Linked DNA regions of Styela clava. The main gene of each other region encodes a partner of the protein of the gene in region 2 in a complex. Links are inferred from orthologs where the notes say so. Each region holds a gene or a part of one and is shown on either strand. Other genes may lie near its edges.

Evidence for each region.
Region 1: putative RNA-binding protein 15B (region 2) and N(6)-adenosine-methyltransferase non-catalytic subunit METTL14-like share a complex: the UniProt entries of both Drosophila melanogaster proteins name them as parts of the WMM complex. The link is inferred for Styela clava from reciprocal best matches to the Drosophila melanogaster genes nito and Mettl14.

What each region holds. Positions count from the first base shown.
Region 1 is NC_135261.1:19,295,830-19,313,172, reverse strand, and holds N(6)-adenosine-methyltransferase non-catalytic subunit METTL14-like, read right to left. Parts: upstream 8,706-17,343; 5' UTR 8,633-8,705; coding exon 8,567-8,632; intron 8,145-8,566; coding exon 8,001-8,144; intron 7,724-8,000; coding exon 7,564-7,723; intron 7,296-7,563; coding exon 7,160-7,295; intron 6,760-7,159; coding exon 6,660-6,759; intron 6,276-6,659; coding exon 6,069-6,275; intron 5,547-6,068; coding exon 5,468-5,546; intron 5,020-5,467; coding exon 4,908-5,019; intron 4,686-4,907; coding exon 4,561-4,685; intron 4,103-4,560; coding exon 3,699-4,102; 3' UTR 2,662-3,698; downstream 1-2,661. Other genes in the region: periodic tryptophan protein 2 homolog, read right to left, coding at 9,237-11,935, 13,246-13,273. UniProt on the Drosophila melanogaster protein: Non-catalytic component of the WMM complex, a complex that mediates N6-methyladenosine (m6A) methylation of mRNAs, a modification that plays a role in the efficiency of mRNA splicing and is required for sex determination.
Region 2 is NC_135258.1:21,861,768-21,878,080, forward strand, and holds putative RNA-binding protein 15B, read left to right. Parts: upstream 1-9,724; 5' UTR 9,725-9,859; coding exon 9,860-9,957; intron 9,958-12,174; coding exon 12,175-14,245; 3' UTR 14,246-14,650; downstream 14,651-16,313. UniProt on the Drosophila melanogaster protein: RNA-binding protein that acts as an associated component of the WMM complex, a complex that mediates N6-methyladenosine (m6A) methylation of mRNAs. M6a modification plays a role in the efficiency of mRNA splicing and is required for sex determination.

The DNA.
Region 1 (17,343 bases), on a different chromosome or scaffold from region 2:
ATAAAAAAAAAACTATTAAAGTTGAATACTATGAGAGGCAAATCTACATACGAATACTCCCTCACTACACCGCTAGACGAAATCGTCCGTACCTAGCACTTTCGCGTCGTCAACCCCGATCTTTTGTCCCATCGGCTCGACGAAGTGAGTTGTGCAGGCAGTAGGCCTATCGCTCAAAAAGAAGGGAGAAGCTCTTTCTCGACTTCAGCTGTTATGTTCGCAGCCAATCAGAGAGTAGGATATCACTTGTGGTATGACGCATGGTTTCGGTCTAGTGCGTGCGACGCGTACCGAACTCATGACTAAAATAGTAGGGAAGTAGAAACGCAACTTTTCGATCAAGCGGACTAAAGGTCGATGAAACTCGAGATTTAGTGTATGCTCTCTGTGTTTTTTCGACAACGTTTTGTCGATGTCGCGCATAGTATTGTATGCCCCTAGCGGAATCCTCTCGCTTGTTCATGATACTCGTCTGACTCTAGTTGAAGGCGAAGGATATGTCATTTTTGTGGTAGCGACAGCGTGAAAGTTACCAATTCTGTAAATAAAAACAATAAGTCGCAATACTTGAGAATTTTTTTTAAATATTAGAACTCTCTCTAATTTTGCCTCGCTTAAGTTGGGATGGGTGCTTTACGATTGTTTTTTGGGATATGACATTTCGGGCATCGGAACATTTTTTAGTCCCAACCTCTGGGTCAATTTTATTGAAAAATTTTTTTATAAAACATTTTAGGGGCTGCTATTCTTACATTGGATTTTAATAGTCCATTAACCTTTCCGAGCCTGCCGAACCACAGCACTATTCGGCATGCTCCCGCCGAACCCCATCTTACTGACGGTTGAAATTAGGAGCCCAATCCTAACTTTACAAAGAGAAGCTAATTTCGTGCCAGGTTATAGAAAATGAACATTATCGTTTATCCTTAGATACCAATACGCCATTGTGCCACGTGGAAATAGGAACTTTGAAAATCCAAACGATGATAATATGCCTCAAAAACGTTAGTAGTTCAAGTCATTCGTTTCTCAAGCATCAAACTGCTTTAAAATGTGGATATAAGGTTTTGCCAATTGTTTTATTTTACAGAATAGAGATAGGATATGATTTGGGGTTGTTTGGAACGGATGAGAATAATTTCAAACAAAGCTCTGAAATTAAAAATATTTTTTTGTCGCAAATTTATCACCTAGTGAAATTCAAACACGCTCTGATTTTGCATTCATTTATGTACATTAACTGCCAATCTTCGATTTATCTGTGGAACTGAGTTTATAAATTTTATTAGTACGGTAGTTTACAAATAAGAGACACGCACATATTTAGCTTAAAATCCTTGGTTTGTCATAACAACCCAAGATATTTCGAAGCCATAAGCAGAAAGCACCTAAAAGCGTTATCATAGATAATTACAGACACCAAAGCGCATGGCATCTGTGGAGATATATACGAGTTTTCAATAAAACGTACTAAATTCTAAGAACATCAGCGAGTCGACTAAAACTTATATCTGCGCGAAACCATACACGAAGCTAATTTATTGATTGTTGAATTTTCAGGTTTGGATATCTGCGATAAACTATAGTTACTTTTACATAATTAGTAGAGGAAGTAATAAAAAAGTCCCATAATATATATAAACTATTTCAGAGGATCTTTGTCGAACCTCTGGAACAGCTCCACCGAACCCAGGTTAGGAATCACTGTCTCAGTGTATGCCAATTTATCTCAAACTAACCAGAATACGAATCTACCTCTACTTAATAGTCCATACCATTTCACATGAATGCATCGGTAGCAACATTTGACCAGGGTCAATTCGGAACTGGGTACATTTGAAAGGTGTTTTCGTTAGCGAGGTTTTACATACAGCACATTGATATACAACATCTTTTTCAATATATGTTTTTCTCCGAGGCCACCGGAAACTTATCTGGGACTTGGGACACTGCTATGGTATATTTCACCCCGATAAATGTGCAAACTTGCAGACGAGACTTATGAGTCACACATAGTCTGTGTCTGCTCAGTCAGGAGCGATGAGAAGTTAGTTTTAGTTATCAATTCAGATCAAAGGTAAATTCAGTTTGTACATAAGGATGCGGGACATGTTATTATGTAGTACAAAGGCTCTGAGATATGGTGTGCAAAGAAATAGTTTGGGATAATGTTATCATTTTGAGTCTGCAAAGTAGCCTATCTAACTACCTTATTATTGAATACATGAAAATATATGGAGTATTCGTGATATGTACTTTTTGCATGCTAGTGTACCTCGTTCAAATATAATTTTTTTTGCAAATAAATCATGTGTGGCCAGGTGTATACCACCGTGCCTATTTTATACAGCGAACCGGAGATTTTAATACAACGATGACTTGTAATAAGGGAAGTGTTTGTCGGTCAATAGTACCGAACAGTCACTCTAAACTGCATGGTCAGCGCAAGTCATTTTGCTGTTACCGATTTTGAAAAACTGATCTTGGGGGGCGACGTTACAACAGTTGAAAAGCTGGATTGGTCGTCTTGTACAAGAGCGTTTTTACTTGTAATTACTGTGACGTTTCCAGTTGGTTTTGAGGAATTTGCCGGTTTTGTGTAAAGCTGGGCGATTTTTGCTGCCCCAACCAGGGGTCTCAAACTCAAAATATGTCGCGGGCCACTCTTTGAAATTTATTGACGATGTGGGCCGCAAACTAACAAATTATATACAAAATTGTTACACAAAAATCAAAAAAGTAAATCTGAATATGTTTGTTGAAATTACCCTTGAATATTACACTAAGCGAGACATGAAATATATTCGTTTACTTGTGTTGGTTATTTGGCACCGTTTTGTAGCGGTGAGAGACTCGATGTTTAGCCTTATTTTGCGTTGGTTTGATGGACTTTAGACAGCATACAAACTTTCTTCCGTTAGTCGTGTGCGAAAGGATGATTTGTTAACTCTCATTGTTAAAAAATTATTTCACACGCCTTCAACATACACTCTTTAATAAAACTTCCCTCAACGAAAGGACGCCACGATTTCGCAATAAACTCACTTATGGCTAGGGATGGCGGATTCGATTCCAGAATCGATTCCGGTGCATTGGAATCGATTCTTAGGGTCAAAACTTGGAGTGCAAACAAGGAAAACTATACGCATCATGTGTAAGTAAATATCGAAAAAAGCACTTTGTGAAACTTAGGGAGTGTAATCGCATTGTTTTCTGTACGTGAAAAAAAACTTCTAATATTTCGAAGTAAAGCGTCCAAATAGCCAGTGCTATAGTTACATAAAGATTCTTTTCGTTGTTTTCAATCAAGTTGCGACACAACTTGTCTGATTGTGTGGCAATATATACATATACATGCTACTACCATACCATCAATTATGAAGCAACCGCATATAACGATGGAGCACAAGAAGTAAAAGCAACACAACTAAACGAAAAGAATGAATTTCAGTTAGACATGGCCATTGAAATCACACCAGAAAGACTTTATTCACTGTTGCCACAAAAGAATTTCTTAAGATTACCAGAAATCCTATAATTCGCCAATGTTTTTCACATGGTATATAAATGCATCAAAAACGTTTAATTTTAAAAATATGCTTGCTTTCAAAACATTCAATGGCTTCATTGCTCCGATTCCATCCTATTCTATTCAGACAAAGGATATAAACATTTAGGACAAAACACATCTCTTGATACTATCTCCTACTAAAATTGCCACGGCCAGAGTTATGAAAACCTCTTGGATTGGTATCTCTCTGTGTCATGAGATTTCGTTTTCTCATTTTATTAGGTGGATAAGTTTGTCTGTTACCATCGACCCCTAAACCGGAATCTCGAAATGGTGGACTTTGTCCTAGGCCAATTGATGAAGGGTTTAGTCCAGGAAGGTCAGACCCAAAATTTCTGCCAATTGATGGCAGCAGAGTTCCAGTTGAGTGATGTGACCCATCCAAATGACTGGACCTCTGACCATGTAATTCACCCCTTCGACCTCCACCACGTGATCCGCGGCCACCAGGGCCATGATGTGCTCCTCTCTCCCCCTTATCACGAGGTGGAGGGGTCTTTGGCCGTAGTCTCTCAATTTCTTCGGTACAACCTAAATAGAATGAAAAACTGAAAACGAAAATCTTTTTAAAACTAACTTGATGCTGTAAATCTTGAATGTTGCCAAAAATTAAGCCACCGTTCAATCAGGTAAAATTACCTAAGTTACATCTGCAAATTTGTTCCAAAATGCATCAATTTTAAAAATACTAATTTTTTTGTATACAACACAATTATGTCTTTTGCCTCGAACAAGGTTCTCCACAAGCTGCCACTTCCAGCTGAGGAGCTACTTATAGGAAGGACTGGATCATTTGCTTCGGTTTTGCCCACCCAATTCAATAAAGCCTTGGTGAGATGTGCATGGGATTCGAATCCAGGATTTTAACCTGTGATGACAACACAGTAGGTCTATCTAACACTTAGATCACTGGGCCACCACCTCCAGCGGAATACCTAAATATACAGACCCGACATCTGTACACCCACAAATCAAAACAAAGAAATCACCTGTGAAACAACCATGTGGATGGTCTTCCGTTACTTTGAAATAATTACGATAAGTTTCCGCATTGAAATTGCTATTGGTCAAACCAGGTCCCACTGTTAACCAACCAGGACGAATTGAAGAATCTCTGGGATATCAATATAAGAGTATTTTAATACCATCTTTGAGATGATTAGAAAATTAACTAATAATACCAAAGAATTTAATATTCGAAAACAAGAATATTGTGAAATATTCTTAAAATTTTAGGATTAAATCAAATTGCGAATTTTTTTGAAGAACTTTATCTGGGTAACATTAAAGCAGCTGTTTCATATTGATGTCAGATTATCTAAAGTTTTAGGCTCACATTCCAAATAAATGCAATCTTCTTCTACTGAGACAGAAATGTTCAATGAGATGAAATATTTCTTCCGGTTTTTCTTCATTTCCCAACTCCTGTTCTTCATCAATTATCAAGTCTAAATTTGGAAAAATGGTAATTTGTATTATCCTTGTCAAAACTATGTTACAAAGTAGAATGCCTCACAATATGCTGTCACACGATAGATTTTTCATACTACATGGAGACTAAAACACATCTGTCCACACAGACAAAATATAATTATTTAAGATTTACGAGTTTCATCACAGAACTGATTCTACAAGAGGTATCCATATAAGAATATTCATCGACACAATTGCTAAATGTTTATGTAATAATAAGGAGCACAGTGTAACAATCGGGATCATTATGACGTTATTTTGATTGATATTTTCAACAAAAATTTATATTCATTAAAACTATAGTCGTAATTTCAGCAGACACAAGTGGGCTGGATTTAGCTGTAATTTGGCACATGATGTGGCAACGAAAATTACTTCCCAAAACACAGTATCAACAACTTGAATTAGATACTAAGTACTAACCAATATCAACATTAGCATGTATGAAGTCTCCATCAATACTTCGTCTTACTGTTCCTTTGATCCCCATCAAACAATGTTCCTATGTTCCATGAAAATTAATGAGATAATATCACTAATGATTATTATTTTGTAATAAACAATATGAACAAACAAGAATATATCATGTTCACTACACAGATTTAAATCTACAATGATTAGGAAAGTATATTTGGAAGACAAATTTAAAGAAGAATTTATGTTGAAGATTCTCTATTGACAACCAACTTTAGGGTAGGGTAGGATTTACAAATTTATCCCGGGGGGAGAGAAAAAACGATAAGACGGCTCAACCATATGGCATGGACTTGATGGTGGAGGAAGCCGTCACCGACTAACGGCTACATGAACCACCCTACGGCAGCAAGGAGTCTAGCAATTTTTTCGCACATAACCATCACTGCGTGGGATTCGAACCTGCGAACCCACACCGAGTAATCATAGATGCGGTGGCGAAATTATTCCTAACGCTTAGCACAATGAGCCACACCGCCGCGCCAGCGTTTCGGATTTCAGGACTCTACTTTTTATGTACAGAATATTAAAAAAGAATTATCACAGGTACCTTCGAACGGCAGAACAGAGCACCTTGTTCAACATTCCTTGGAACTCTTTTTTTGAAATTGATTTTGATCCAACAAATATCTTCACAACGACGAAATCCCCATTTTTTCAAGCATTGCCTACCATGATCAAGACCATCAGATGAACCACACCAAAGGAATACAAAAGACCTTGGGGCGGCCACTTCTTCTATTTCCATTGCCATTATCTGTATTTAGGAATGTCATCAAACTATTGGTCAAATTTTGAATTTACAAAAGCTATATTCAGGAATTTTAATACTTGAATGTTGAAACACAATAAAACTCGAGACCATTGGTATGAACTTTCATTTACATATTATGATTTGAAAACAACAGAATAATATAATAACAAAGTTTTACTAAACAGCTCTCCTAATATTTACTTGGTTGTTATGATGACATTTAATATCATGGGATTGCTGTCTTATTCAATATTTTCAAATCATTGTAAAATTTGGAACGATAATTATTATGCGATTTGAAAACAGCACAGAGCTCTGGTGTCACTCACTCTTGTTGAGTGAGTAGGAGTGAAGTTAATGCCTAAAATATATCGATAACAAACATACATCTTCCCATGAGAAAGCCTTCCCCATATCTGAAGACATTCCAGCTTGTTTTCTATATTCTTCTAGCGGAGGTTGAATAAGGATAACTTCAAATTTTGTGCTGCAAGTAAGAATTTGTTTTAGTAAATTATTTTTATCTTACTCTTAATAATGGGGCAATGAGAATTATAAAATCAATTATGCACAGGATAAAATGGTTCAAGATATTCGAAACCCACTTGAACTGTGAGTTCGTTAAGCAAAAAAAGGTTGAGTAATCTGTATCAACCAGCTAATTTGTTGTAGATTCAAGGAATTAAATGATGAAGGTGTAACAGATCAGCGGATATAAGAACCATCGTGTATGGGCAAGAAATCCAGCAATCTTTTTATATGTCTTTGACTTTTATGAGATATAAATAAACTTGCGAACCGACACAAGTAATCAGCCATGCGATGTCAACCTATGTTTTTCATGCTTTGTGCGTTATTGCCAAACTTATAACTTATTTTGTACACACCCTAATTCACGAAGATCAAAATTTTCCAAGTCGCAGCGGAGATACATTGGTGGAGTGTTTGTTTTCCGTATCAATTCATCTTTCAAAAAATTCAAATCTTTCAATTTAGGATATTCCTCGAAACGATCAGCCAGACCTGTAAAATTCCAAGTTCACTTGTTCTGCAAATAATGCCCCAATAATACGATGCTGGTATATAACCCCTGTAGTAGACCCGTAGTACGTGAACCATGATGGTGGACACCGGAACGTAGTATGTGTACCAAGTTAGGGTTAGGCCATGATTTCAGGTACAAATACTACTCAGTTAGTTCCAGACATTTTTATCTAAAATGATCTGGTACAGAATTTTTATTCTCACAATTGCATTGCTTGTTGCCTGCCTATGTTACAGGTCTACTCACCAACATCTCTGATATAGTTTTGAGGTCTCTGTCCAGTATCAACAAAATTCTGGCAATAATCATTATGAGGATTCAGACTTTGTGTTCCCTTTAGAAATGTACTGGAATCCTTGAAAACTTCTTCAGATTCTTTCTCTTTATCCAGGCTTTTGGAACGAGACTAAAAAGTTTTAAAGAGCGCGAAGTTAGCAATAAAAACATATTTAATAATTATCAAATGGGATTACAAGATATATAAATATCATTAGATAGAAAAAAACATCTACTTTTAATTTTAAAAACTTATTTATTGATACTTTATTGCAACTAATTCCATCCCATCTTGTAAAGACTTATTTCATGATTTGGTTTGGTAAATAAGTTGGAAGAAAACCAATTTGCAATCCCAAACATGGGCATTCCTGTATTCACAACATCCAAGCAAGTAAAAACCTTACGACATCATCTTTTGACTGCTTTTTTGTCAGAACATGAGATTTTGTAGATGATTCTTCTCTGGATTTTATTTCGATTTTTTTCTCCTCTTGTTCAACTTTACTGCTTAGCACGGTGTGAAGTTTATCAGCACTGTTGACACCCAACTGGAATATTTTAACAAGGATTTAACAGTGTTGAAAATTTTTTAACAATCGGTGAAATTTTTTTGTGCTGTATTCACCAGACTTTTTTGACACTTTGAAAATAATCTTATACCTACGCTCATCATGGTCGTCTAATATTTTTAAGAAATACATCACAAAAAGTGAATGACTACATTAACCCTACATATTAAATGTGATTTTACAGCCGAAACCTTCGAGTATAGGCAATTTTTGGATTGCCTATACAACTTCAATTGCCTCGCCCTCAAATAGTATTTTCCAACCCAAAAATGTCCAAATTTAAAAATTTTCATATACTGTTTAATGAATTGCAGATTTGAATTGCTCTTACTTGTGTAACAAGCGCGGCATTTCTATAGTATGGCTATGACCTTTTTATTCCAAAAATGAAACATAAATACCTGTTTTGCAAGAAGTTGTCTTCTGCGTTTCTGTTTTTCACGAATATGTTGGAGTTTATCACTCATTTTAGAGAATAAGAAAATGCAATAAAACTTCTCTGCAATTTTTTAAATAGCAACAGTATTTGGCTGAAAAAAGAAAATACTCGAGAATCATATCAAATCGTTTATTGAAAATCCTGGCAGTGGTATTCGTTCAAAAACTAATCAAATAGCAGTATGACATTCATAGTTTCACTGAAATCATTACAGACATGGAAAAACGATAAATACATGCATAGCCAAATAGGCATATGGAATGCAAAAATTGACAAATTTCTAAATCCAAAGATGTTGATTTGTTATTCCATGTTTAATATTGTGCAACTTAATAAACTGATAATAAAATATTTTGGGAACCACCAATGATTCAATTATAATATTGTTTATATATTCAAGAAATACCAATAGCCTATAATGATAAATCGAATAGTACGCCATAACAAGTCGCAAAAATGAAATTTTGTGGAAAGGACAGAGCCAAAGTATATCAACAGAAAAATGTGCCAAATGTATCAGATATATCTTGAAAATAAACACTTCTCCAAAATTGATCATTTTTTGAAGCCATTATAATGCTATACAGACAATACAGTACAATATGACCTTTTTTAACGCTCGAGTAAAGGATTTAAGAGAGTGAAAGTCCTGAATCTTCGGACACATCGTCCATTATTTCATCTTCAATATCTGATTCTTCTTCACTGATCTTTTTGCGTTTTGAACCGAAGTACTTAGACATTGCAATTATATATTGTATTTGGTAACTATTTTTTTCACAGACTGAACCCAAGCCTTCTTTTTTGATGGTCAACTTTTTAAGAATACCCATAATTGTACCCAATACTTTATTTTGTCTTTGCTTCAACTGTGTAGCATGATGCAAAAATATATATTTTGTCCATAGAATATAAAAATGGAAATGACATGATTTGTCAAGCTGAGTGCTTATGAATTCCAACAATTTCTCCACATATTTTTGTCTTAGCCCACTGACTATCATCTCGATTGCTGCTATGGGAGTACTCTCAATTGCTTCACATATCAATTGAACTTCATTGAGTCTCAAAGCCACCACAATAGCCTCTGCATATTCATCCTTTTCTATTTTTTGACGAATCAATTCTGGGGTGATGGAAATCTCCAGGTCGAAAGGATCAAAGACGAAGTTGTTGTCCAACGAATAAATGACAAGACCCTCCGTTGTAACAGCTGCCCAGTCACGGCCAGCAGGAGAGAATTTTACTCCTGAGACACGAACTTCCGGCTTGAATGACCTGCTGCACATGTCACCTTTTTGAACACCAGGAAGTTTTATCAGTTTTTCATTGCTTTCATCGGTGTCTATTAGAGCTAAAGGTCCAAATTCAGTCATTTTTCTTTTGTCAAGAAATTCCTCCATACCGTCGAATGATAAGTTTTGTGATACAGTAAATTTCTTCACAAGTAATCCTTCTTTAACATTATATATACCAATACTTGCAAACTTTCCTCCTGCAATAACACACTGTCCATCAGAAATATAAGAAATACAATCATATGCTTTTCCTTGTGATTTAGATTTTGCAGATATTCGGTCATTTTCGTTCCTACCAATAATGATATCATATTTGCACTCAATTGAACCCATCTGCTTGGCAGTTTGGACATCCCAGAATGTAATTTCAGCATTTAGAGTTGACACTGCAATTTCAGATCCATCTGGTTTAAAAGCAATTGCCAGCACATCTTGGTTGAGAGTTATGGTTTCTCGAGCACTTTTGGTCTCCAAAACACTCCATAATTTCACAGTTCCATCCCACGATCCACTTGCAAGAAGTGCTTCAGCAGAGGAGAAGCATAAAGAGACAACAGGGCCCTCGTGTCCTGCTAAAACATCTAGAAGACGGCCAGTTTGCATTGACCAAAGAAAAATATTGAAATTATCGTTGGACCCTGCACATATCAAGTCTGCACTATAATCAACAGCTAAGCTCACAAATTGAACTGGGTGAGGAGATGTGAAAGTACGAAAATTTCTATATCTGTGCATATCGAACGCCCTAACAGTTCCATCAAGAGAAGCAGACACAATGACATGTCCGTTCCTCGTAAACTGAACTCCAGTCACACTTGAAGTATGTTCTGTGAAAGTAACGAAACAAAATCCAGTCAGTGTATTCCATACTTTAACTTTGCTATCTTCCCCACCTGATACAATGTATCGTCCATCAGGAGAATAATCGAGACATCTCATATTATTAAAATGACCATGTTGTTTCAGCACATACGTTTCACTGTGCCACTCCCAAACAAGCAATTGCCCTGAACTTGAGCATGCAAGGGAGAGCCAATCACCACTTTGGTTGAAGCAAGCTGTTGAAATTCTTTGTTCCGAAATATTTAAAGAATGAATCCAATTGAACCCGGGAAGTTCATGCAAAGAAAATGAACCGGATGAAAATCCAGTGGCTAAAACATGATTTTTCTTGTGATAAGCCACACATGTTACCTCATTATAATTGCCTTCTTTATTGAAAAAATATTTTGACACTCTATGATAATTTAAAAGTTCTGTTTTTATTTCACTTTCTTCTTCATCAACACCAGGATTTAATATTTTTAAAGCACGACGATCTTTCCTATTCAATCCTTTTTTGCCTAGATTTTCCAAGTCTATGTTCGACTCCCAAACATTTAAAGCACCATCTTTGCTAATAGTATATATATCAAGTGAATTTGATTCGAAAAAGCAACCCACAATCTCATCTTTGTGCCCTCCCAGTGAAAATAATAAAGGATTACCCGGGATTGTAGTATAAATACGCGTGTTCATATCTTTCGAACCAGCTGCAAAAGTAGTGGAATCATCTGTCCAATCAAATGTTGTGATGGTGTCATAAGCACCATGATATGTTCGATATAAAGTGAAAGGATTAATTTCTCGTGTTTTACCAGGGGCATGATATAGTAAAATTAATTTCTCCATAGCAACAGCAAATTTTGTTCCAGCAGGATCAAATTTTATACATGTGACAGGTTTACGAAAAGTGAATCGATGGATAACAGTTTGACTTAAAAGACTCACAAGGGATGCATTTCCATTTTCATCAATTACAATTACCAACCTTCCATCAGGAGAGAAAGCAACACATGCAATATTGTACTTAGTTGTGAAAGATAGTGTTTCAGACGAGTTTTCTTTTAAATTGAATAGTGAAATTCGATTTCCTACAGGACTTGCTAATATGTCCTTCCTTGGTAAAAATTCAACATTTCCTTTTTTGTAAATGGTTCCCAGAAGATTAGAAAACTTATAGGTGTACTTCATGATTTTGATTGAGCTCTCTTCTAGAAATGCAAAAGAATCTTTAGATATTAGATTATTTTAAATTTTTAATAATGTACACTGAAACTCAAGTGCAGTTTTGAGTATTCTGTGGCGTCTGCAGCTGCCGCAAAACCATGGCCGTATTTCCATACCATGGCTGAATTTTCAGCTGTCACAAACCAATGACGAGCTGCCGTTACTGTGGCAGCAAATTGAAAACCAATGGCAGGTAAAATTTTGCTGCCGTAACCACGGCAGGTGGGCCGTAAAGACAGGGCTATCCCTTATTATGACAGACAGGTACGCCATATTATCTGCTTTCCTCAGACGATTTAACGTTACCGTACCTCAGTACCCAAGCAAAAAAATCGCCGCTGAAGAATTCATGAGTTTTCAGAAAGAACTGTCGGCAGGAGACAGTCACATGTGGGAGTGAATATAAGTGAAAGAAAACGTACTAACGAAATGATCTTTGGACATGTACCGTATTGTATGAATAATCACGGCAGAGAATAAGAAATAACCGCAAAAAACAGCATTCACAGTATGCAAAACAGAAAACCAGAGGTTCAAGTTTGGCAGCACACTACTGCACTATAATTTTTAAAATTAGAGTGTTCGTTCAATCAAACCGAATATCGAAACATCTTGAAATCCCATGCGGGAATAGTTAGGCTATGTCGGGATAAATATGTAAATTCTATCCGGGTCTCATGTAGTTTCGTACCTACTCCTAGAGGGTGTAGCATAACAATTTTTTCATGTATCAATCCTAACCCCCACCTGACTACCCCATCCAAAAATTACGTCACTACGACGTCACAGTGACATAATAGAGCCCTTCAAGGTATACAAACTGTCACCCAAGACGCGCAGACGATAACCCGAAATCGAACAGCTATTTTTCTCGTTTTCTCGTCGCAACGATCCCGATAGGGGAGAGATCGCTGACGTTAGTTAGCAATTATCGTCGGCGCTGATGCCATTTCGGGCGATCGTAGGTGTATTTGGAAAGTTCTATGACGTGTTGTGACGTGTAGTGACGTCATTTTTGAATGATGTAGTCAGGTGGGGGTTAGGATTGACATGTCAAAAAATTAGTATGCGAGAGGATTGCTGAACTCATTGCCGCCGCAGCGCAGCAGGGTGATTCACGTAACCGCTGGTCGGTGACGGCTTCCTCCACCATCATGTCCATGCTTCCGAAAAAAGACTATCAATGACCAATAACTTACTAACTACTATTAATTTTTTACTAATAATTATTACTAATAATAAAAGACTGATAGATAAACAGTATTTTTTCTTTCTATAACTGTATTGAGCTCACCTTTGACTCGTTTGGCCGATAGTTTCATCCAGCGTGCAAACCGAATGGTTTTCGCGAGAACAAACCTTTTCGGTATTGTATTTTTGCGAGAACAAACTTTAGAGATTAATGTCAATGAGTTGTTTTGTGAGAACTGACTTCTATTTCAAATTTGACGACAGAAATCAGATTTTTCATAAATGGTTCAATGGCTAGAGTTAGAGAAATAGACAACAGCATTATTAATTTAGGATTAAATTAGAATTACTACTGAATTTATTCATTAAATTAAACTACATCTTTCATAAAAATTGCTGCAAAATAACTTTCCCGCCAAAAGTATATTTATGCAAAACTGCACTTCCGTAAAGTTTGTTGCTATAAAGTTGACTCCCTTTTTTACATGTCGCGAATTTCATTTTTGAGCTGTGTTTTAAAAATAAGCATTGTTTATTTAATCATACCATCATTAGAGCGTCTGTCTGGGTTTAATAAGTGTGAATGAAACTTTGCATCAGGCATATGCCGTGGCCCATGACTTCGATGGTTAAAGGGAATGATGTAGATGGGGGATTGTGTATAAATTTTTCGCACCGCAGACAAAGTTATTTTTTTGCATATCTGCATTCTGGCCAACGCCCGTTTTTTAAAACCCTCTTCATCGCAAAATTGTATTCTTGAACAAATTCTCTTTCACCAAAGTCTATTCTTGGAAAACTTACAAATTACATTTACACAATATATTTTTGCAAATTTGGATCTTCGCACTCTCAAGTTTGTTACCGTTATTTCATTCTCAAATTCATTTCGCAAACGAGAATTACCCAACACAAGACTGCTAACAAAATAACATGTATTTTTTATGACACTAGACAGAAGAATTCAGTTATTTATTGGCGTGGTGGCCGCGATGAAAACAAATTTCCCATAATCCCATACCCTACATGGACTGGTATCTGAACGAGAGACCAAGGTTAGCTATATCATTGAGCATCTTATCAGCTTTTTATCCATCGGGATAAATATGTAAATCCTATCCTATCATAAGGCTTAGCAAGATATTCCAGTCACTAGTAATGCAAATTTACTGATGAGATGGACCATCAGCGGAATGCTCAGTTTGCTAAGTAGAAACATTTTTTCCGTTTTATACAAAGATGTCATGATTCAAAATCCTCATCAACTAAAATGATTAAATATTTTATACCGTTGAGTCAATGAAAGAAATTGCCATGCAAGAGTACAACTTTGTGATTTTTAAAGTCCATCGTGAGTTTGTGGAAGAACATTAAATATCCGGAAAAGTATACGCAGAGAAAGTATAGTTTGTAAATCGAATTCTGGTGTATCAATTCGGTGTTAAGTATTTGTTTCCATAAACAACTCGTATTTGGTTTAGTATAATCATGAATCAATTTCGCCGTTTTCGCTTTGTTCCTCAATCACCTTATTCTCAAGGGTAAGCGTCAGCATCAATGTGCTTGGATTCATCCCGCATTTATAACATAATAAAAGTGTTTTACTCTCAAAAATGAGTAAACATGACTGACGGGGATGCCCAGTTCGAATTCAATATTCGAATATAACGACCATCGAATATTGTTTGAAGTGTTTATAAAAATATCGAATATGTATGTATGTTTGTATATATGATTTTTTCGCTATTTTGCGTACGCTATTATAGACACTATACTCCATTATTACGCTATTATAGTTCGAGTCGGCGTCCTGTCACGTCGGCTGTGATTTATTGCAGCAGCGCCAAGGACTATTACGATAACATATGAGGCAAGAGAGCAACGCTCAAATCTATGAACACGTGGACCAGAGCGAATCAGTTCTTACCTTTGACGTTACCGGTACCGTACACTCAAAAACTTCTGAGTTTCCAGTCGCAAGAATTTTTACAGTCAGCCGTCACGCTTGACGGATTCAGAACCGTGTTTCCATAATTATAAAGTAATACAGCGCAATTTTGCATGAAATATTAGATCTCATAAGTATCATAGAAAATTTAGGAATAAATAAAAGTAATAGAGTAAAACCAATCTTCAACTACTGAAAATTCCAAAGCAATTGGTCCAGTATTCGAAAAAAAAGCGACTTTATCATGACGAAAAAGAAGAGTATCAACAAAAACAACAACATAATATCAAAACGATCCATAGGTCCACCCACGTGTCCAATAATTATAAAATACTTTCAAACAAAAGGTGGACAACGGCAAAAAAAAAATAAGCGAGATATTCGATACCCCAATTCGTCAATGATCATCGATAGCTACATCCTACATAAACAAGAGAGCAATGCTCAAATATATGGACACGTCATTTTCCGGGAGAACTCGTATAATCACGCGAGACAGATTTCGTCGCGAGAGAATAACGCTCGTCCCTGATTAATAAATTATAAATCCGAAGTACAAAAATTGACGCACGGAACCGAAGAGACGGAAACCGAGTCCTAGGTATTCAAATCCTCCGGATTCGGTATTTTATATCGCCCATACTTGGGAGTATCTGAATTCTCACTTTTGTGCCATAATCCCGGTATAAACCTTTAATTACCATCCAATAAATGCAATCACAGAATAACAGAATTACTCTGCCCCTACTCCACTTTGATAACTTATGGTACCGACGCAGAGATGATTGGCAGATGCCACGACCCCCTACTTTATTCTAATGCGTCAGTATATCTTTTCAATTATTTCAACCAACAAAACCATTACAAATATGCAAATAAATTCAAACGGAAATCCTCTACCGTGGGCTTCAAAATATAGCAAACTGATGACGTAGTAACGCATCACTCCTGCGTAGCGAACCGACCGTGAGCGAACTATATTCAGTAAACTATGGTTTTATGTCATAATGTGAGCATTTAACTTGTAGACTAGGCGCGAATGAATATATCATGGCATTATATTACGTCTACCTCATAATTATTTTATGTAATTCCTAATATTTCTGTCACTACTTTCACTCAGCATTACGGTACCGGTACCGATACTTACCTTACGACCAAAGTTATCCTCTGTGATAATAATTCGCCTCGATGGTAACCGCTTGTAACAGAACACGAGAAATCCTCATGCGGTGCATAGTTTTGCAATCAATATTTGGGTTGTGTATTTGATGATAAATGTACTAACTTATATCTTATATTCATGTAAAGTGTGAATATTATTTGGTCTGCACGAAATGCATTCATTGCGAAGTGCTTATGAAAAAAAAAAATTCTATCAATAGCCGTTTCATAGTTTTTGTACGCGTTTTCAACGCACTAATTATATGAGCTATCAGCTGTTGCGGAAAATTATGATTTATTAGATTGCGAATTCTCATATATCTGTCCATCCACCTTGAATTGTAGATTTTTTATTTATCGTAATGTTCATATAGCTTGTAGGCAACCTTACATCAGGGTATATATTGTATGCTTAAGGAAAAAATTGGCAGTATCTCCACGTCAACCAAATGGCTGTATTTGTGGATTGAGTTGGCTGTATATGCATGGGACCTTGGCAGTATATGTCTATTTGGTTGGCTGCGTATGAGTTGCCGTTATATGCATATTTCTGGCTGTATATATATATGGCAAGTTACGACCCCTATCGAAGGAATTTGTAAATCTTTGCGGTGCTGTCATTCATTAATACCTCATCGTCTCTGTATCCGTCTCAAAAATCATTTATGCACCGCCGTACATACATTTTCTTCAACTATTCTTTTACTTAGTTGGTGTTACATTGACAAACTAAAACAAATCTCGTTTGATACCTTATATAGAGCGTAATTTGTTGCCATGATTGGATGCGTCGAAAAAATGTATATGTAAACGCAGTTGGTTGACTTACGACATTGTTTATCCCACTCGAATGCTTTTTATGCGCATAAATTCTCTGACTGGGTAAGTTTATTTCAATGCATCCCATATTGTGTGTTTAATATCGCACTACTTCCTATAGGAGATAATTTAGATTGTATGCTTCGTTAGAGATATATTTGCTGAAGCGCATGTCAATAGCAAACACGATATTTACCACACACATACCATATCTATCAGACATGGGCAAAGTACGGCCCGCGGGCCAAATCCGGCCCATTGGGTAATTCG
Region 2 (16,313 bases):
GAACTCCGACACATATTTGCAAGATATGGTATATGCAAACAACTAGTGTCTGACAATGGACCTACTTTCACGTCGGAAGAGTTTGCAAATTTTATGAAGAATAATGGCATACGTCATCCACGATCTGCACCATTTCATCCGTCAAGTAATGGTATTGCAGAAAGATTTGTCGGAATTTTCAAGAGTTCTCTTCTCCGAGGGAGGAAGGAGAAAGGTGATATTTTGCACAAACTGGATAATTTTTTAGTAGCGTACAGAAATACACCTCATTCGACAACGAACGAGTCACCAGCCATGTTATTAATGAAGCGATCTCTACGATCACGTTTAGACTTGGTCAAGCCTGATCTAGCATCAAAAGTTAATGAAAAGCAAACTAACGTGAAAGATTCGAAAAGAAATCGTAAAACAAGATATTTTGAACTTGGTCAAGCAGTCTTGGCTCGTGACTATTCTAGCAAAAAGAGAAGATGGGTCAGTGGCACAATTATTAAACATCTTGGACCACTGACATACCTTGTCAAAATTTCTAATGGTGTAACTTGGAAACGCCATATCGATCAGCTGCTGAAAGCTGAAAATGACGAACTTTGTCGAAGATATGAAGAACCGGAATGGTACAACTGGAACCGGTCAAGCACATCGGCAGATGACCATCCATCCTGTCCAGCCACAGGGTAATCAGGGAGCACAGCAACATCCTATACCCAGGCGAAATCCTCTCAGAAACGGGAGGCCTGACAGATTAAATTTATAGTGATATTGATAATGAACATTGAATTGAGGGTTCATTGTAAATGTGTTAATTTAGTGACATTGTTCATTTCTTCCTAAGGGGAGAGGGGTGTTGTGTATTTACGTCATAGCTTGTTGTTTTTAACACAGACTAGATTTGTGATTATAATGTCATAATTGTTTTCTCGTAATTGCTCTTTGCTTTTGCCTGTCTGCGTGCTTGTTATTCATTCTTGTGTTTGAACTGTCTAGCGTTAAGCTGTGTTATACTGACGTCTTACTTTGCCGTATAATAAACTGTAATATTTCTGTCTACTGGTGATTTGGTAATACCCATGACATCACAAGATCTCTCCAGACAAAAAATTTAATTAAAAAGTAGTAGTTTAATTTATCTTTCAAAACTTTCTGGATCATATCAAAAAGTAAATATATCGGAAATATCTGTATTATTTTAGCCGATACATGGCCGATACCAAAAAAATGGCCGATATTGCCGATACATCGGTACATCTCTAACTTAAACAAGGCCAATCAATAGAAAAAGAATCTTGTGAATCTAGTCTACAAAACAAAGCGTGCAATGATGATCATCGTATGAATAGTAACATTTTACTTTGCCTAAATCTTTGGTGGTAGAGTATGATAGATGAAATCACAAAACAACTGATCCCACTGATAGTTCAGAGCAATTTAGAAGTAAATTAATTGAGCAAAAATAGCAATATAATCAAATAACAAAGATATGATGGACCATTTAGTTGATCAACATTAGCATGTAAATAACCAAATATAAATGACATGGAAAAGAAGTGCTATTCGATTGACCAACAATAGCACTTTTAACAATTGAATGGCGAAGACATGAAAACGGTATAGTAGTTGAAACCCCCGCAGTATGTGAACCAGGTTAGGGCTAGGCCCAAACCCCATTCAGACTTTTGTTATCTTAGTTCCATCACGAGCTTGGGACTGTCCATGTCAGCCAAGCGAAAACATCCCCTGCAAACAGGTCTCGGTCCCCCTCACAACTCGATGCAAAGCAGGCGAACAGAGTCAGTTACCCGCCCATTGGTACACATACTTCTCGACCGTTCATTAATTAACCAAAATTACATAGCAATATCATAAACATCAAATATATGAAATAAGCATCATTCAATTGATTGACAATAGCAATGAAAGTAATTAAATTAACACAGGTAATGGTAAAAAAGGACCTTGACACAAATCTACAACAATGTAGAGCAGAAAATTGTGTGTATTGAAAAGAAATATTACAATTACAAGTGATTTGAGTTATGGGAGTGGAACTTATCCATTATACATCACAACTACAGATAGGAGTACAGTCAGGAATGACTGAAAGGCAGGTTAAAAGTAATAGGAATTGCTTATTCAGTCATTTGGCTTTAGTATCAAGGAGATTCAACATTATTCAAATATGGTAGATGCAACTACAAGACATATAATGAAAATTGAACAAATAAAGCAACTTTGTTCCACAAGAATCTTAAGAAATATAATAATAGATACAATAAATAATATATTTCATCTGCCAACAAAAACACGCAAGATCACAAAATAGAAAGCTGGGGAACATTGCTTGTGATATTGAAACAAGTCGGCTTACTGAGGAATTGCACTTGATTTGCAAAGTGGCACTTAATGAATAAAATGCTTGCAAACTAGTCACTGATTGCGTGTTATACCTCTTTGACATCATAAGAGTTTCAATGTTTAAAAAACTCTTTGCATCAACTTATGTTTACCTTACATTAGCACCCGTTTACTGCACCTAAGACATTTGCACCCATTGACGTTTTCACCCGCATATTGATTGTTCCCCCGGAAATTTACTCTAATAGGCATTTGAACTATGGTAAATATTTCGGTGAGATGCAATTTGTAATTCGTGTACCTTTTTGAATATTTTTGTTCGGAATCTAATTGCAGAATTGTAAATATCAATTCTGATATTTATTCGATATATTTTTTTGAAAACTCTCTAGCGGCAATAAGGTACAAAAGCCTTTTATAATAGTAGAAACATGAAGTCAATATTGGCAGTAAAATATTTACAGAATACTATAAAGTGCTTCAAAACTTGTTTTAAAAATTTCCAGAATTGCATGATAATGTTGTTTTTAGCAGACTGAATTTGCCCAAAATGACTAAATGGTTTAAACCAAACAGATATTGTGCTGTTTCGGTGTTGATAAATTAATTACGCATAATTCTTTTTCATAGTTTTAACAAAACAAAAATTAGGTTGTATACAATATTATATTCAGGTCATTATTTCTACTTCATTTCAATGCGACCGCAGTCGAACAATTGCTATAACAATCTTCTTCCAACTTTCCTTGTCCTCCATCTCACTGGCAAGATTCTCCCGTGGTATCCCCGTGTCCTGTTTAAGTTGATCAATGTATGTATGTACGACGCTGTCTACCCACGTCGCTGTCTTCTTTTCCCATATTTTGGTTTCCATAGGATCAGTTCATGTACGATTTCTTTCTTGTTTCTATAGCAGTGGCCACTGAATCTAAGGCGTCTCTCCTTTATTATAGTTGTGATTCTTGGTAATTTACCGTATAGTGTTTGTTTGGAATTTTGTCCTGCCATGTTACTCTTTTACCTACTCTTAGCATTTTCGTGTATGCGCCGTCCAGCTTCTTGCTTGCTGCCATTGTGGGAGTCCGCGTTTCTGATCCATATAGGAGAACAGTTTTTGCTGCAGCTCTGAAAAACTTTATCTTTAGTTCTTCCTTCAATCTCGATTTCCAAATTTTTTCTAGTTTGGACAGTGCTGACCAGGCTATTTCAATTCTGGTATTTATATCCTTTGAGCAGGTGTTTACCCATCCTCCAAAATATCGAAAGTCCTCCACTTGGTTCAGCACATCTCCACCTACCGTTTTCAATTCTACATTGTCCTGATTGAAAAGCATGTATTCCGTTTTGGAGCTGTTGATGTGTAGTCCTATTTGCCTTGCTGCTTGTTTCAGTCCCGTTAGTAGTATTTGCGCTTGGTTTAGGTTTTTTGTCATTAATGCCGAGTCATCTGCAAAATCAGCATCGCAAATTACTTTTGCTGGGTGTCGCCTGCTCCTAGCTCTATCGAGAATAAATCCCAGGTTTCGTTCCTCTTCAGTTGTTTGCTTCATGACATAGTCTAAACTCTAAAGCGATTATAAAGAGATATGGCGCCAAGGTGTCTCCTTGTAGTACTCCAGCTAGTATTTCAAAAAACTCAGTGTTGCCGTCCGGAGATATGACTTAAGCTGTATTGTGCATGTATAGCATGTTAATAGCGGTGACTATTTTGGGAGGGATCCCGTACGCCGCCAGTATCTCCATTAGCTTTCTTCAATGTACAGAGTCAAAGGCCTTGCTAAAATCGACAAACGTGAGTATTGCTGGAAGATTCTTATTCTTTATCTCTTTTATAAGTCTTCGTAATGTGAGAACTTGGGCCACTGTTGATCTGTTCTGTCTAAATCCGTTTTGATTAATTCTCAACTTACTATCTACTTGCGGGTATATCCTGTTCAGAAACATTCTGTTGTAGAACTTTGCAGTGACTGCTGATAAAATTATTCCTCTGTAGTTTGTTGTTTTTCCTAGGTCTCCTTTCTTTTGGACTGGTAGAATTGCACCTGTTCTCCATATAGTAGGTAGGCTACAGCTACATCACCATTGTATGCTTCATTACAGACTTCAAGTAGCTTGTCTTTCAGACAGTCCATCTTCCATACTTCTGCTGATATCCCATCTAGACCTGTCTATAGGTAGAATATCGTAAACTTTCTTGATTGGTTTGTCATCTATTGTCGGTGGTTGTCCTAGCAGATTTTGGAAACGTTCCATCCACAGCTCGATTTGCTCTTCTGATTTTTTTGCTTTGATCTTGTTTATATTTGTTCGTTTCCTGCCAGTAATTTCGTTGATGATGTTCCAAGTTAGTCTTGCTTTGCCCGTGTCGTTTGTATTTTCCAACTCCCTAGTTTTTTCTCCAATATACTTTTCTTGTTCGCTCGTGTATGCATTGTCGAGATCTGCTTTTGCTTTTTCCAGGACTCGCTTGGTGTTGAGCGTGGTATCATTACTATTTTTAAATGCTTGATGTAGCGCTTCAGGTCATTATACAAAAATCTAAGTTTGGCCTTTCTAGTTTTTCAAAATTTATTATTTAATATTCTCGTAAAATTTATTGAAAATTACTCAACAAGGTCGTCTTTGGGCTGAATATATATTTTACTTGCAAACTGAGAAACATAAATCACAGTCATGGATATGAAAGCAACGTTTCTACAATATTTGAGATCATATATTCCAAACAAGCCTCTGTATAACTATAAATAAGTGACTCTTCAGTGGACCACTTATATCCATAAGTTTATTTCAACTCCATAATCAGCATAACAGCAATAAAATGATTGATAAAACAGACAAATAAAAACTGATTATGAAATCAGGAGAGCAAACAAAAACATTAGACCGCGTTCAAAACGTACAGAATATAAGATGGAAGCAGAGGCGTGCCAAACTTTTCTGCTGCCTGGGGCGAGTTTCTGACTATGACGCCCCTTATCCCTAACTCAAATAATATTTTGGGGGTTAAACAGATTATATATGTTGTTATACATGAGAATAAATAAATTAAAGGTCAAGTAAGAGAAAAACGTTTGTTTTATTGAATAAATCATCAAACTGAGCAATAAACTCGCTCGTATAAAATGGAACTCATTAACAAAATGGAAGTCACTTATTTCTATGTCCAGTGGCTACTTTGCTGTCAACAAATGTCTGAACGACAGCCTCCTCCACCTCGCTTGTCAAGAATTTCTTTCGATGCTAATCAGATCTAAACTTGAAAGGCGCTAATTTGGCATTCAACTTTGAGAAAGATCGTTTGCAACTAGCTATTAATTTTTTAATTTCGAGTAATAAACAACATGCAATGCAAAAAGTTGGAAAAAGTAGACGTTTTCGCATCCAGATTTTCTGCCATGGTTGTAAACTATACCTCATTTTCGCGTTTTTGCATGTTATTTTTTAGTTTTTGGTAATGTTTCAGAAATTATTAAATAGTTTAAGTACTCGTGTAGCCACCTTTACAATGAGCACCAAAAATGTTGCAATTGTAAAAGATAGGAAGAATTTTTCTGGGGTCAACTCATCATCACCACAGTCAGCCAAACAATACTAAACACTAGGGATGGGACGACTCCGGGATTCGACGAGTCCGAGTAATAGGTCATGGACTCGAATCCTCCGAGTCCGTGACGTCACAACATAAAGAGAGAAAAACACGTTTTTGACCATGCTAAAGCATCGTGCGCTCACAAACATAGTCTAGAGATGTACCGATACCACTTTTGTCGCCGATACCGATCCGATACCAGCTAAAAACGCCGATACCGATACGTCGATACTACAAAAGGGCCGATATTACCGATACCGATACTATGTAATTATTACTTAATTAGGTGTGCTGAGTAGGGCAGACGGGTTAAAACAATAGTCTTTGAGCGTTGTTCATAGTACACATTATTTCAGATCGAAAAAAAAAAGATATATCACATAATATGAAATTAATGTTTAGTATCCATATGCTTTAACTGATTAAGATACATTGTACAGTAACGCTAGTAATCTCGGTGTTCAATTAGAAAACTCATAAGCCGGGATGTCCAATTTGAATTTAATGTTAATATCGCGACCTTCGAATATCGTTATTCGTGTTTAAACGAATATCGAATATCGCCCACACATTCTAGCGCCGCCGTTCTACGTTCAAATTAAAAGTATTTTATAAATGTTTTATTTAGTGGCTAATCGTAATCGTCAACGCCAACATGAAAGAATAACAAACAGCACCGACAAAAAGAAGGCCCACCTATAACCGTCGAGGATATTTTTTTACTTTACTAATTTTATAATATTTTACAATTTCTTTATTTTGAGACAGTCTAGGGCTAGGCGGTCATGTCAATATATCTATAAAGAAATTGTGTAGTTAAACAGAATTAAAATTAATACCTGTGTAGTGGGATAATTGTGTCGGAATTTAGTTTATCGATGTCGACGGACTAAATGACACTCGTACTTGACGACAAACAGTCAGAATTTATACCCGTGCCAAAAGTCCATGTGCCGTTAATAAGGACCCCAATTCCACTGTATGATTTAAAACTGGGCGCCTAGTTTTTGTTATGTGCTGTGTTGATATATTTCTTCATAAAAACTATGTAATATTAAAAATGTCAATATGAAAATTTGACAGCGAAAATAGCCAAATTAGTTGAGCTAGTTTGGCTGATAAATAGCTAAAACACGTGAATCCTATTCTCTCGCGGGGGTAGGGACATGTATGGCTCATAGCTCACGATCTCTCCAGACAAAAAATAAATTAAAAAGTAGTATTCCAACTTATCTTTTAAAACACTCTGGACCATATCAAAAAGGTGAATATATCGGAAATATCGGTCTTAATCTAACCGATACCGATACATGGCCGATACCAAAAAAATTACCGATATTGCCGATACCGATACATCGGTACATCTCTAAAACATACATCGTAGCCAATATTCCCTCTAATTTTTTGTATTATGTGTGCGCAGAAATTTTGGTGTGTGCGCACTTTTTTGGAAATGACTAATATTTGTGCAAAAACCAATGAAGAAATTTTGACGTTCTAACCGGGTAATAAGTGGGCCAACAACAAACTTTCTCAACCTGCCAACCGAGAACATTGTTACATTACATCGATTTACGTCTGTGCGCAGTAAATCTATGCGTGTGCGCGGCCCCTGAAAGCTGTGTGCGCGCGCACACTTTAGAGGGGACACTGATCGTAGCTCATATTTTTTGCCTAAAGGTTTCGTAAATAGCTGTTGAACCATTTTAGAACCACATTTTTCCTTTTTTTTTGCGGTCTTAATACAAACGTAAACGTGGGTCAATGTGCGCCTTGGCTGTGAACTGGATTTCCAGCCCACCACCTTGCGTCAATTCTGGGCGGCTATTCAGAAATTCTTACATGTCAATATGAAAAAATAAAAAGCTTTTGAGTTTTGACTACAATGCTTTCCCATAATTTCAGATATTTCTAGCCGTAAATTTACCATGTCACGTGCACAAATGGTAGAGAAATGCCACTCGTCGTCAATACAATGTGGTACATCTGCTTGCAATTTAGTAGTTCATGTAAACGTTCTAAGCTTCCATGCTTTTCATTGCTCCCTTTTTAGAGAAAGGATTGCATGTAATAAACTCGATTTAAAAGAGGTATTGATGAGATTCCCCATTGGGTTGATCCAGAGTATGTTTCAATTTTACGCGAATCACAAATATTGCGCTAACACATATTTTATTGTGTACCACATGTATACGAAAAAGGATAGATAGTTTGAAGGCGCCTGGCGCAACATCATTGTTATAATCGGTCAATAGTTTTAAACTTGTGTTATATTTTCTGGATATTTGTCGTCGTTTTTTATTAGAAGTGTTTATAATGCACACGGGCGATATTGATACAGATCTGACCTTGAATTTTACCTAGTTAATAAACAATGTTCTGCATTAGCAGTGTTCACAGTACGATTGCAGATGCAGTAAAATTCCGGACATTTGGGCATTTTTTTTATATTCTTTCAGGACGCAAAATTTAATCCTAAATTCCGGATGGTATGGCAACCCTAAGCTAGATTGCGGCGGGTACGTTGATGTACTCCACAGTTTTATTTAGCAATCGGTCGCAAACTGTTGGTCTAGTTTTTCCGGGTTTTAGTTTATTGATAAGAAGTCTTCTTCGAGATTAAAATAAGCGACGGTAAATCTCGCTTTCGTTTACGACGGGAATTTTATTTGCGGCGGAACGAGGGAGTGTTTTTGAAATTTATGCAAATTTCGGTGTTTTTTGGGTGGTAATAGAAGACATATTATCCCTTCCATCTACCAAAGTATTTTGAGTTAGATCACGAAATTGCTACAGCAATATTATGCTATTGTTTGCTAACCACGAAGTGGTAACAGTAAAGGATTTAGCGAATATTTCTATTTTTTTTATCACGGTTTGAAGTTTCAACTCCCAAGAAAAAAAAGCCTTTTTTCTATCCGGTTTGTGACTCAGACCACCACTTTTGAAAAAACTTTTTTTTTTGCTAATTGCAAGCTCTTTAAATAAGCTTTCCAACGAGCCGTCAGTGGGCAGCAGAGGATCATTAGTTTTTCGTTAGTCGATCGATTAGTTGTGGGGGTACAAATTCATAAAATCGGCGTAGCAAATACGATTATTTAATAAAAAATAAAAATCGCATAGAAAGGGTTAAGGTATGTAAGATTCGTCGAGGCAAAATTACAAATAAACGCGTAAATTAATAAAAACAGAATTGATTATAGACTCAGTAAAAATGACGTGGACTCGAAATCGGATCCGAGTCAAAAAAATGCCTGGATTTAACTCGAATCCGAGTCCGGATCCGAATCCTGGCCTATCCCTACTAAACACATAATGTCAGCTTTCAACGCAAACTCTACAGCTTGGTTCTGCTGCCCCCTACAACGTGCTGCCCGGAGCGGTTGCCCCCTTCGCCCCCCTCTAAGCACGCCATTGGATAGAAGGTTTTTCAATTAGAATTGGTACCATTGAGGGTATATACACCTCAATGATTGGTACATGTTCACCAACGACTAACGACAACGACGTGTTCACTCACCTAAAATATTTGAATTATTAATGCGATAAATTACATACTGATAGTAAACAAAAAATAAATAAAAATTAGTTACCGATATATTTAGTTTTTGTTTCATGATTTGTTTATTTTATTGTATATGATAATATTCATTCATGCAATTCATTATTTTTGTGACCAGTAAATTGTGACTTTTCAATGTACAATATGCGAATTTTGGGATTTAGGGTATTACTCTACTGTTGATTTCAATCCTTTATCTGGCAACCATAAATAAGTGACTTCAGTGGATCTCAAAGTGACATTCGCTTGCTTCCGGGCGTGGTTACGTTGTCTTCTACACGCGCTCTTGAAATTACTTTGTTGGTCATACCTTTATAGAGTTTGCTTAAATATTGCTTGACGTGGCTCTAACAATGAAGCGACAGGGTGAAAAAGACAGTCCTTCCAGAAATAAACGCTCGAAAGTACGAAATGGTAGTCCAACCCGCCGAACTTACAGCCGGCACAGCAGGTTCGAATATTATTGCTGAATTATGGCTTTCAGCTTCTTTTTTGTTATCATTAATGTTTTCCATATCAAGCGTCTGAGCGTTGCTATTGATGCAAACCAGAATGTTCAGATGTTGGTTCTGTAGAATATTGTATACCGGTACATTACCACACTGCTTGGTCAGTTGGTACCGGTACGGTACCGTACCGGTATCAGTCTTTTGACTGATTGATTATTGTCCCCAGGCTGCCAAGACTGCAGGGTAAATACTGAAATGAGCGAGATAGATGTGAAAATCATATCCTAATTGTCTGGGTGAAGTTTAGGCATCGCTGACTTCAGGTTTCATATTACGGTACTTGAATAAATCTTGTTTTTATTGGCCCATTCCTTATCTATTTCATTATTTGCTTGTCATTAACTGTAATCATATAAATATAATAAATATTTCGGTTAGATGCTATTCCTAATTGGTCCTTTGGCCTCTCGCATTTGGGTACGTTTTTGAATATTTTTTTCGGAATCTAATTGCAGAATTGTAGTCTAAATATTGAATCTGATATTTTTTTCTAAAATCCTGAAATCTCTTGCGGCAATACGGTACAAAAGTCAAATATTTCCAGAATATTATAAAGTGGTTCAAAATGTATTTCAAGAATTTGCAGAATTCCATGATAATGTTGTTTTTGGCAGACTGAATTTGCCCAAAATGACTAAATTGTTTGAACCAAATAGATATTGTGCTGTTTTGATGTGATGAATTAATCACGCTTGACTAATTTTCATAATTTTAACCAGACAAGAATTAGGTAGTATACAATATTATATTTGGCTCATAATATCCAAGGAGTCAAAACAAAAATCTAAGTTTGGTCTTCCTGGTTTTTCAAAATGTATTATTTAGTATTCTCTAAAATTTATTGAAAATTACTCAACAAGGTTGTCCTTTGGGGCTGAAATTGAAATATATATGGTAGTTCAATGACTAAGAAACATCATTCGCAGTCATAGATATGATATGAAAGCAACCAACTTACAAATATAGAAAATTGAGGAATTTGACTGAATCGATTTGGTATTGGTAGGAATGGTGTAATTTTATATTTAGGTTTTCAATTTTTATATATCAAAACTAGATAGGCTACATGGCCAACATACCCCCCAATATGAGAAAATCAATAGTTGAAGCAGATACGATTTTTAAGCTTTTTAAAAGTAATTCATTATCCAGAACGGTATTGTTGGTATCATTTTATCTATACGTCACCACGAATAAAGATTTTTTATTACAGTAAAAATTTCGAATTTTTGGGATTAATGAATTCTTTTACACTTATTTATTCAATAATATAACAAAACATGCTCATATAGCATCATGTCTATTGATGCTTCTAAGTCCTATAGCGATCACAATTACAAACAATATACCCATTATATGTTATGATCGATACAGCTTTTGCTTTTTCTAGATTAATGAATTTGTTCATCACATATAAAGTGATGCATATTCAAATGACAGAACTTGTTTTTCTTGTATACGTCCCTTTGGAGATATTTATATTTAGCAAAAAGTGAATGTTGTGTAAGAAGATTTGTTTTGCTACCAAAGAGTCATCAGCAATGTGTATACTTCTATTGTGTATTCTGCACTACGCTGAAAGTACTCTACACTTCATACTCAAAGCGCATAAGTGATATATTTACTGACCAATCAAAGTCACTGGGAATTATCTCTGCTTAAATTTGTTTAATATGCTCAACGAGCTGGAATATTGAATAAAAAAGGTTTATATCTGTTTACTGTGAGCAGTTGTTATGCTGCACAGTGCTCTTTTATCTGGAAAAAAGGTTTATGAACACCTTAATTCTAAGCAAATGGAGTATTGAAATTATACTTCCCTGTTTTGCTGTGGAAACGGGTTTTCTGCAGTGTGTGCGCTTATGATTGAGATAAAGGTTTATGAACACCTTACTATGCAATATGATAAATGTGAAAGTTTGAAAAATGTATTCACTGGTAACAAATTATTGCACCTTAGTATGCAATATGATAACTGTGGAAGTTTGAAAAATGTATTCGTTGGTAACAAATTTGAGACGATGTAAAAATGCATAAACACCTAATAAAAACCATTACCTAGCTCGTAACACTGAGATATTGAGAAAGGTGTCTTTCTGTGAAGTTACTGGCTGAATAATAGGTTAGGTTTATGAAACATTGTATCTTATCTCTTATAGCCCGCATCACAGAGATGATCGGAATGTTGGGAGGAGAAATTCGGCTTATGGGAAGAGCGAAGATTCATATTCACCTTCGCAGAGATTTACACCACCACCTCATCGTGATGATAGAAGACGAGAAGGAAGAGAACCGAGTCGAGGAAGTTACAAAGTCTTGTTGGTGAAGAATTTCAGCTCACAGATATCTGATGTCGACATAGAAGAAAGTCTATATTACGAATACAAAAAATTTGGAGATGTTTCTGTCAAGGTTTCTACAGACAACAGAGGAGATCGTGTGGCTTATGCAACATTCAGATCATCTGGTAGTGCAAATGATGCAAAGAATGCTAAAGGACATTTGGTGATGTATGACAGACGACTTACTGTTGAAGCGGTGTATGAGAGACGAGAAAAAAAGACAAGGACTCTTTCACCATTGCCGGTTCCTGACACTAGAGAACGTGAACCAAACTATCGCAAAAGATCACCCTCTTTTCAGTATGATGCAGCACCATCACCTAGAAGGCGATCTCTGTCTCCGGCTTCTGAAGGAAAAAGTTACAGTGTCCACAACAGTCCTACCAATACAGAACCAACCGAACCAAACATCCTTCCTGAGGATGACCCTTATGCCACTAGGACACTTTTTTTGGGAAATTTAGAGGCTGACATTGGCAGCGGTGAGATAAGACGCTGTTTTGAAGTTTATGGCAGAGTCGAAGATATAGACATAAAACGATCCCAAAGAGGTGTAGCGTATGCGTTTGTACGATTTTCCAATTTGGATATGGCATACAAGGCAAAAGTAGCCATGCAAGGGAAACCAATTTTGAAATTTCCAGTAAAAATTGGATATGGAAAAGTCTTCCATTCATCAAAGTTATGGGTTGGTGGTCTTGGACATTGGACATCATTAAGTGTTTTAGAACGAGAGTTTGACAGATTTGGTGCAATACGCAAAATTGACTATGAAAAAGGGACTAGCTATGCTTATATTCTTTATGAAAGCATTGATGCAGCGCAAGCAGCATGCAGCCAAATGCGTGGTTGTACTTTACATGGTTCTGACATTCGTCTGAGAATTGATTTTGCGGATCCTGACCCTGGAATGCCAGGATATGAAGCATGGTTAGGAAGAAAAAATTACAGTGATCGTGACTATCATGATAGAGGTGGTCATTCGAGAGATAAAAGGCATTTTGATAGAAATGATGATCGTGGGAACTTTTATCGAAAAGAACGCCCAAGGGAAAGATTTCATAATGACAGGGGTCGACCTTACGATCGGGGTAACAAGGGTAATAGAGGGCAAGACGGTGGGCGGAGATCACCTGAGAGGTATAACAAACGTTCAAACTCCGACAAAAAGTCCTCACCCAATCGCGCCTCAGTTGTAGTCAGTGAAACTAAGAACAAAGGCCCACATGAGTTTGAGCGTCGGTATATTCCTGCGCAGAGTGAAGATGCTGAGCTCAATTTTAAACATGATCAAATGAAGATTGCAACAGATCTTCATGCATTATGCCAAATACTTAACCCGCCTTGCTGGGATGGTGCCTTTGTATTGAAGAAAACTGCTTTTGCTGTGAGATTTTTCCTACTTGATGGTGATGTTGGACTTATTAACAACATGATCACAACAATAACAGCTCAAGGACTACCTGCAAGAATTTCTTTTCTACACATCACTCAAAGACTAAGACAAGACGAAGATAAACTTCGTGATGTAAGTCGAAGACTAAAAGATCCCGACAGTAAAACTTGTTTGCTTTTGGCAGTACCTGGTATGCCTACAAACGTTAGTAAAGCAGACAGTGGTTCTGTTTTCACACAACAAAGGCCTTTGCGTGGCTTAGTGAAGTACTTCAAAGATAAGGATGCTGCCGGGGTTGTTGCATTCCATGGACCGAATCCACAGCCTGATGCTAAAAAAGATAAAGTTACATTGGGGATGCTGCATGCTTTCCCACCTGGGCAATTTGCAAACGATCATTTGTTTTCTTTGGCACCTTGCCTCAATCCATCCTTAATTATTGAAGAATACATGGTGATTGTTGTAGCTAGAGGTTCATCTGCTTCGTCATGATCAATGCCAACATATCAGTTTAGTACATTGCTACTATGACGATTGCATGTTTGTGTGAAAGGGAATATTGTTGGGTTGTTTTCATTTATAATCAACCAAGATTCAATTTTACAATTCCTGTGTACTAGTTTATTATTCTGAATCCAAATTCTTTTCGTTCATAATAACAAGATAAAATTACAATATTCAATAAATTTTTCAGAAATTTTCCTCAAATAAATTCATTAAAATTTCTAATTGTAATCGCATGTGTTACATAAATGAACTTGCATGAATGTTTTTAATAATTTGGTTATATCTTATGCCAGACAGATGCTACCTTGTTTGTTTGCCTTGTTCATCATATATTTTTTCAAATCAAGACTAGCTCCAGAGAATTGTGGTTAAATAAAAATTTTGAAACTAGTTTTCACATTAATATACTTTTGTGCGTGGAGAAAGCTGTGTCGAGCCTGCCGACATTTATGATTTTCAATTGTGGATTTTGGCATGAGGGAAAAAATCTCTTCATTAGCATTTCGTAGGGCAATAATAGAGGAATATCTTGGGCTTCATCTGACTCAAAAACATGTTCAGTTAAGCTGAACGAAAATTCTGGTCATTGTGTACTAGGTTTAGTGACTAGTATCAAACATTGATATTATTTGTTTATGGGAAGATCTAGTGGTCTCCGTGGTAAAGACAATTTGGCACCCGTTACGAATGTTGAAGACACACCTAACCGTGCATGATTCAAAAAAAAACTTGAACATTTGTTTTTCTGGTAGATACAGTCTCAAACTTTTTTCAATGCCCCAAATATTGAAGTCATCGAGTGGATCTCCAATTTCATTCAAACAAACTACTATTAAGTACAATAGTTCTGAACGGATCGGCCTCGATAGTTGATCAATAAGTGCTTATAGGATATGGCAACCAACTGATTCGAAATCAAGCATGTTTGTTTCGGCCATCTGCGGCTATTTAATTTACAACAGCTTCTACATTTATTTGCTTAATACTCGTTTCCGTGAATATCAATCAATTGAAAACAAAAGTATAAAGTATTTTTACAAAGTTGGTTCATGCGTATAAATGTACTTGGATGTTATCTTTTCAGTTCGTCTATTCTAGGGGTTTTCAACCTTTTTTCCCGTCAAGTACCCCCCGAGTCACGAAACAATGAACGCGAATCCCCGGTAATCAGACCCTGAACAAAGTTGTCATATACTGATATATTGACTAGCAATTTGTTGCAACACCAATTTATTGACCATATGTAACTAAATTGAATCGTCTTTTTGATATTATTGCCCTTTTCGACTGCCTAACTAATGGATTCTTAAAATTTCTCCCAAGTTTCAATAAGCATAACTCTCTAATGCTCTCAGCACGCTGTCTTTAGAAATTTTACAGTTTGTACGCAAAGCTTTGAATTTAACATTGTTGCATCACAATCACAACAACGCAAGATCAGGTAAAATCTACGTTTCAATTGGCGTCTAGTTTCATTGGGCACGCATTTTCCCATGGTATCAATAAAGGATATTAAGAAACAGCAACATACAAAAACTCGACTGTCATCCGAGTACCCCTAGAAATCTTCTTGTGAACCCCTGGGGGTTGGCGAAACCCAGGTTGAGAACCCCTGGTCTATTCAATAGATTTTTTTATACTCCAGATCGTAACATAAATATCCAAAGTGAAACGCGAGAGATTTAAGTGTACCAATTTCGGAAAACGGTGTCATGAATGCAACGAAATTCATTTCGATCGCGAAATTCCCGATCAAATTGATTCGCCCGGACGTCCGCTAATACATAATCTGTCATTTCTGTACAATTTAATTGTTTTATAAGCTACGAACCAATTTAACTTTACTTATGAAGAGTTGAAATAAATGTCATAGATTAGTGATCTCTATTTTGGGCTAGCTAGACCATACACCCGATGCATGACAAACTTTTGATGGATGATAAATGGGTTAAAAAAAAATTTCACTTTAAAAAGAATGTGCGTCATCGATACAATCAATACATACATCAACGAGAAACCTGCTATTTGTCTTAGTTCAGAGCCGAGGCAATTG